Linked DNA regions of Schizosaccharomyces pombe. Changing the gene in region 1 together with any one later gene gives a genetic interaction. Each region holds a gene or a part of one and is shown on either strand. Other genes may lie near its edges. The genes, in order: rtn1 and tts1.

Evidence for each region.
Region 2: of rtn1 (region 1) and tts1, changing one enhances a phenotype caused by changing the other (phenotypic enhancement), as found in Schizosaccharomyces pombe (one study listed by BioGRID).

Annotation. Positions count from the first base shown.
Region 1 is NC_003423.3:1,261,700-1,265,390, reverse strand, and holds rtn1 (reticulon Rtn1), read left to right. Parts: upstream 1-1,786; coding exon 1,787-2,713; 3' UTR 2,714-3,093; downstream 3,094-3,691. Other genes in the region: protein dbl7, read left to right, coding at 3,551-3,691. UniProt on the Schizosaccharomyces pombe protein: Required for the correct positioning of the cellular division plane by delimiting the actomyosin ring assembly at the cell equator. Overexpression causes cell lysis.
Region 2 is NC_003423.3:4,366,136-4,370,064, reverse strand, and holds tts1 (tetra-spanning protein 1), read right to left. Parts: upstream 1,724-3,929; 5' UTR 1,677-1,723; coding exon 1,617-1,676; intron 1,518-1,616; exon of another isoform or gene 1,431-1,517; coding exon 651-1,430; 3' UTR 249-650; downstream 1-248. Other genes in the region: COG complex subunit Cog3, read right to left, coding at 1-65; arg41 (argininosuccinate lyase), read left to right, coding at 3,298-3,929. UniProt on the Schizosaccharomyces pombe protein: Required for the correct positioning of the cellular division plane by delimiting the actomyosin ring assembly at the cell equator.

The DNA.
Region 1 (3,691 bases):
ATGATACATCATTACTTTGAATACGATACAACACAATTCTTTCAGTACAATGTAATTCACTTCTATGCAATGCAGTCCACTTCTATGCAATTCAGTCCAGCGCAATGCAATTCCATACATTTCATTTCAATTCATAATTTCATATACTAGCATACGATGAGATGTCCAATTTATTAAATACGTTTTCTCTTTCTCCCTCCCTTTTCACGAAAAGGCAAGAAAAGCCTTCTTGTTCATCATACGGTATGCTTGCAATTTTTAAGTGGGTGTAAATAAACAGACACACAACGCATAATGAGATGATGAAGAATTTCAATACAAACTGATTTGTACAAAAAAAATTAAATTATAAAAAGAAAATCTATTCAATTCAATTCAATTCGTGAAAAAATAAAAAAAATAAAAAATTCGAAATAAAATTACATTAAATTAATTAACGTAAACTGAAATAAATCAATTACTAAATGTAGAAAAGGTATGGTCTTATTTATTTCATCATATATATATATATATTTTTTTTTGAAATACATTTGCTTTGATTCTTAAGAAATAAATTTTTTGTCAAAAAAATTTCCAAAAAAAAAAAAAAAAAAAAAAAAGGCTTCAGAAGTTTGAATGAATTTTGTTTCTTCAAAGTTTTAATTGATTTCAATTCCTCAAATATTAAATAATTTTTTAAACAACAAATTTCTTCGTGTTTTACTCACTTGTGGATGATTCATCATTTCTCACCGTTACTATTCCTTTCCTTTTTCAATCTTTAATCCTTTCTTTATTCAGTTGTATCCTTTTCCTTTTCATCACTCTTATCCCTTTCTCCTTTACATTTTACAATCAAACTCCATACTTCGCTCTCCTTTCAACAAACTATCCTACACGAATTTATTTATCTATTTCTCACTTTTTTTTCGCCTCTTGTAGCCTTTCCTGCACTTAATCATTGTTTTCCCTTTATTTACTCTTTTTTCAATATCTCTAGCTTTTGCAAAAGTCATCCGTTTTCGCTCGTTCTTTCGTTTTTCATCCATTTTCATTGTTTCTCTATTCATTTCCTTCTTTTTCATACCATTTCACCCATCTTTTCATACCATTTAACCCATCTTTTCCCGCCCATCTTCTTCCTATTCTTCGTTTTTCTTTTACCATCCAAAATTCTCTTTCATTAGCCTGCTGTAAACCGATTATAAGCATGATCGCTATAGTCGCCGCTGACACAGACTTATTGAGCCAAGAACAACGTCATTCCATGATCAACGCTATGACTGCTATCTAACCACCAACCACCGACTTGACTTTTACCATATAAAAGCAAAGCTTTCCAACTAACAACTTTCTAACAGTTTCGTAAGTGAAACATATTGACTTTCCTCTCAACAACTCGTGAAGGTCTCTTTTTGTATTTACCCATTCTACTTTTATTTTTTCTTTCGATCAATATCTCCCTTAAAAGTTAACCCTTTTGGAACTTGGCTTTGGATTTAATACATATACATTTTATTTATCCTACAGCAAAATCCAAAAATCTTTTATTCACTTTTTTAAGTCTTTGTTACAAAGTATTTCGCTCTTCCGAAAAGTCGTCCTTTACTAGCTATTTTCTTTAGTCGGCACTTTTCAGAATTAGTTTTCTTTAAATTTTCTCTATTTTTTACTATATCTTAAAAAAAAAACACTTGCACCCTTTTTTAGTTTAAAAGGTTTCTCTTTTTTTTTAAGGCTTCTTTTGATTCTTAGTAACTGTTTTACCTTAAGTTGTTATTTTAAAATTGAATATAACACGCAAATCATGTCTGAACAACATTCATTAAACCCCTTTGAATCCGGTTCCGTCACTGCTTCCGATGTCGCCGCTGCTAAATCCGGTGCTGAGGACCTTGTAAATACTTTGACTGCTCACACCGTTCACCCTTCCACCGAATTGCCCTCTGCCACTTCATTTCCCTCTGCTCTCCCCAACTCTGAGAATCCCGTTATTCAAAACATCTCTTCTTCCTCTTCCGAGCCCCACCACACCTCTCAATCCACACCTGGCGAGACAAGCAGTCCCGTCTGCCCAGTTTCCGGCGCTCACGGAGGTGCCGACAAAAAATGCCCTGCTTTGGAGGCCGGTTGCCCTTTTACCAACACTACTAAGCAAAACGTCGATCCTGAGATCTCTAATGCTTTGTGGTCTGTGTTGACTTGGAAGAACACCTCTTGCAGTTTCTCTACCTTGATGAGTATTCTTGCTCTCGTTTATGTCCCTTCTTGGATCAATCTTCCTCGCCTCTTTTTCAGAACTTTCCGTTATGTCTTTTTGATTACCTCCATCATTGAATTCGGTGGTCTTTTCGCTTCCAACGGTAAGCGTGGTGTCTTGTCTCACTTCCGTTCCTCCTACATCACCTGCGACTCCAAGGCTCTTGATAGGATTGTCAACTCAATTGTCGACATTTTCAACGTTATGTTGATTCAATTCCAACGTATCTTGTTTGCTGAGAGCCCTATTTTGACCTTTACTGCCTCTGTTGCTGCTTTTATTGAGTTTTTCCTTAGTGGCTTCCTTTCCTACAAGTCTCTCTTTGTTTGGAATGTTTTGTTTGCCTTCATCCTTCCCAGATTGTATGTATGCAATGAGCGCTCTATCAAGCATTTGGTTGCTTCCCTTGAGAGATCTGGTGATAAACTTAAAAAGCAAGCTACTGAGACTATAAACACCACTGTTAACAAGTAAACCTCTGCGGGATAATTTGTTTGATTGTTTCTGTCAGGTTGCGCTTGATTTTTATTTGGTTCGCTTCCTCGTTTATTTTAAGGTTTCAATAGTATCTTTTGCAAAAAAATGCAAGGGTAATAACCATGGTTTTGTTTTCAACTTTGAAAATGTGTTGCTGTGTTGTGTTGCGTTTCAAAAGTGTTGTATTATGACTTGAATTAGGAGATTGAATGCGTTTTCTCAATTATTTTGCTTATGACTATGAGTGTTTATTTTCATAAATACGTCTTTCTCATCTCGATATATTGTAAATGTAACAGGTTCGGCTCAATCTCTCATTTCTCTTCTGAGTTGCAAACTATTGCAGTGTGGTTGAAGTTCTTGTTGCTTTGCTCAATATGATGCTATTTTATTATATTTTCTCTGCTTCGTTTAATACCCAACGTACTTATTATTCGTAATTTAATCTCGTAATTACTCCGTGTTGTTTTGTAGGTCCTCCTCGTATTCCTTATTGCTGCTCTTTTCGAAAAAAAAAATATATATATATATTTTCCATAACTAAAATGGGTCTGTGGACGAAAAAATCTATTTTGTTTAACCAAATGACTAAAGTATTTGTTAACCAAAAATTATTATTTTTTTTCCACTACTTCGTATTTAATACAGCCGATCATACAGTAAAGTGCTGATTACACTCGCATGATCGTTGTCTGCTCTCACCACAAGTCATTCACTTATATCAATGTTGTGCCAGCTTTTTACGTTTAAGCTCAAAATTTCCTTTGTATCCATATATTAGGATTATTGAAATTCAATTTATTGTCAATTTATCATGCCGCAACGCTATTATACATGAGTTCCAAGAAAGTCAAATACAATCCTCGAAAAAGCGCATCTCAAAATGAAGCTACCTCAGCTTCAGCAGGTAGCAAAGCTTTTGGATTTAATTCCGCGAAAAAGGAGAAACTTCATAGAATGGCGCTGTCTATGGAA
Region 2 (3,929 bases), 3.1 Mb from region 1:
ATATCATTTTGAGTTTCATTATCCTCATAGTTGACAGCAGGATAAAACTCCAACTGATCAAACATCGTTCAAAATAATTACGATAATCAGAAAAACATCGAGCACTTTGTTGGTGTTTCCCAGTGAACCATAACACAGCGCTACGTTACTTTGCGCAGATGCTAAGAAACAAAACGCATTAACATCACATAAATTCAATTGAAACTGGTATTTTATCCAATGTAAACTAATAACTTGCTAGATTTCAAGAGTGCGCTGCTATACATGTGTTTATTGTGCTACAAAATTCAATAAAACGTATTATTTTTACCTCTTAATCTTTTAATACTCAAAGAGTTTTTGGATAAACAACATATATCCATATTTCAATTTCCTTGAAAAAAGCTAAACTAAAGTCTGAGGAGACCCCCCAAACAAAGATAACTGAAATAGAGGAGTAGTGAGCAAAAATAAATAAACGGAATTATCTCAAACAAGTTTTTAGAGAAAGAGGTAAACGGTATGAACATTCAAAATTTACTTGGGTGAAATAGAAACTACTCGTTAATAGTAAAGAACTCAAAAACCAGGAGCACTTAGACATATTAAAATCACACTGATTGGTGAAATTTATATAAATCTCTAGCAATCAAAAGGAATAAGGCATCACTTTAAGTAGATGAGGGAGCAGTGGTAGAGCTTGATGCAGTGGGACGGCTTTGAGCAGTACCTACAGGTGAAGCACCGAACTTGGACACATAAGTTTTGAATGTATGCCAAGCATTTTTGATAACAGGAGGAACTCTGTTATCTGCAACCAAACGATCCATTCGAAGGCTAACGGCTTTAATGGATGCACGAGTAAAGTGACTATTAGTGTATCTCATGCGAAGAAAGAAAATATAGCCCACCAACCTGGAAATTGAGTTTTTACGTAAGAAAACCCCAAAGAACAAACGGAACAATAAAAATGTTTCGAGAGAAGCAACAAGTTGCATAGCAGGTTGAAATTGGCTTCGAGTGTACTGATTTAGCAAATTAGAAACACGAGAAGCATAAGACGCAGTTTTCGCGTCAGAAATATTAGGGTAAATGGCAGGCAAAAGCACACTACGCAAGTAAGTGGAGATGTGGAAAGTGGCGTAAATGGCATATGGAGCGAGAGAAAATAGGATGGGACGATCAATCAACATTGAAAGAGCTAAAATAAAATACTGAACATTGTCATCGAGCATAAGACGGGCAAAGAAATGCTTATTCCAAGAAGCACGGGAAGTCAAGTTTGGACTATAAGTTTTGTAAAGGACAATTGCATATGCAACGATGGCACCAAAGGCAGCGCTTTTAAACAAAAATGGAGGAGCGGAACGAAAAGGGATTGCTTGAAGAGCATACAAGACGGAAGAGATTAGCACTATTACTTGCCCCGAAAACCAAACAAACTGGGTGTTCTATAATAAACGGTTAGTAATGTATTAAAAGAGTGAAGACAATATGACACTGAATCAAAATAAAATAATGCTGACAAATTAGTCTATGTTTTAGTAATAGATTACAGTTACGTTATGGAACTAAATAAGAAACTTTTCTTATAATCAACATTTATTATCTGATTTACACATGATAGATATATTTACCTTGACAACAGGTAAAACCCTTTCTTTTAAAGGCTTGACAACTCGTTGTTTTGGCTCCATTATAGCAAAGTTGTTATTTTCAAAGTTTTAAAGATGTGGCTTTTGTTAAGTTAATATCCAGCAAAAAGTATGTTGTAATAGTTGTGATAGAGTACAATGTACGCTTACCAATGGAAGATCCTAAATTTTCCTACATCAGAAAAAGAAAACCTATGGAACTTCTGTGAAATACGCTAGTACACGTTTTGACTAGAATTCTTTTAGCAGGAATATAAGCGCTTAAAAAAGGATTTACGCCTTTGAGTAGCATTCAAGCTATTACAATTAAATAGATTTAAATAGGGGCTACACTCTTTAGTTTTCTAAAATCCAATTGTTTAAGTCTAGCAGACACTCCAGAAAGCTAACATAATTCATTTACGACCCTTGATAACAATGTACAAGAAGCTCTGACTAAAATTTTTCAAAGTGAAATGCTAAAGTACGATGTTGTTTGTTACGCTATCTGTTCTATGTTTTACATGGAAACAATAAATGGATTAATTCTTGCACATTTACTAGTGGACAATAAATGGTTCAGATTCAACATTACTATATCACACTTGTATTGCTCGGCAACCTTCAATAACTTCTATTTAAAAATAACTAGCAAGATCTAAACTGGCTCTAGAGTATTCTCGAAGATAACACTTTGTGGATTCCGTTTTGAGTCCAGACGTTCTGTTAACAACATATCCATACGTAAATTGTTAAGTTATTTGTTGGCGAAGACGAGTACTATAAACGAATTTTGAGAAGCTTGGTATAAGTAAATGTTAGACTGTCGAAGTAATACGCCCTATATGTGTTCATGCCAAAAGAAATCAATAATATAGTTGACAATTTGAAATGCAGTGTATAATTTAAGGCAGTAAGAGACGAAAGTAAAGAGGGAAAAGGAAAATCATGTACTGTTATCACTTTATTCTTCGTTGATTTTCTTCTTCTTTATAATCCCACTATATTTGGTGGATTCATAAACTCGGTTGGTCCATGTTTATTTTAATTGATTTTCGTTAGCTATCTTAAAAGAAATTGGGCGGAAGATGCATCATAATGTTTAAACCAGTTTAGTCTGATCAGACACTAGTAAAAACGAGAAAACAATACTTATCTACCAATGAGTTTTCAGGCATCTATAAATATCGTTCTAATAAAAATCGAAAAAACAATCACAACTAACAAGAAAATCTTTTAAGAATTCTCAATCTTTATAACAGTCAATTTTCTTAAATCTAAGCTAATGCTCGCGAAATTCTTTGGTAGCTCTGAGTTAATAAATCAGAAAGACAAAACAAATCATTCAGGTTGAGTACATTTATACAGTAAGATTCCAACCAAAGCTTCCATATATGATATCTTTTGTAAACTTAAGGAAAGAAATAACGAAGCGGAATGTAAACATTTATTAAGTGTTTATACGTTCCAATACGTTAGATCTTATTATAGCGATTATAATATCAATTTCATATCTATCGCCGTATCGTTAATGTGATATAACAATAGGTTGCGATAAGGAAGAGGTTACACGGTCATATAGCCATACTCTCAAAAGATTAGATAAATTAAATTTTAAGTAGTACTACCTCCTTTTTGCGTTGGTTGAAAACTTGAAAAACTGACTCTGTTTTAACAATTCTGAATGGCTTCTTCACAAAAACTTTGGGGCGGTAGATTTACTGGCGCCACTGATCCCTTGATGACAGCTTATAATGAGTCTATTCATTATGACAAGCGCATGTTCAATGCCGACATTGATGGCTCGAAAGCTTATGCTAAGGCATTAGAACAACGCGGAATCATTAGTGCTGATGAATTGGATAAAATGTTAGATGGTTTAGAGGCTGTCCGAGATGAATGGAAGACAAATAAATTCACTCTTCAACCTTCTGACGAAGATATCCATACTGCTAACGAGCGCAGATTGGGAGAAATAATTGGTACAGGCATTGCTGGTAAGCTTCATACAGGAAGAAGTCGCAACGATCAAGTTACGACCGATATGCGCCTTTGGCTACGTGATGAGTTGGACATCATCCAAAAATCTTTAGTTGGGTTACTCCAAGTTTTTGTTGCTCGTGCAGAGTCTGACCTTGATATCATTATGCCCGGTTACACTCATTTGCAAAGAGCCCAGCCTATTCGCTGGTCCCATTTCTTATTGTCTCATGCCTTTTCTATATTAAATGACTTGGATCGCTTGAAACAAATTTATTCTAGAGTCAACCGACTCCCTTTAGGCGCTGGTGCACTTGCTGGTAATCCTTTCGCCGT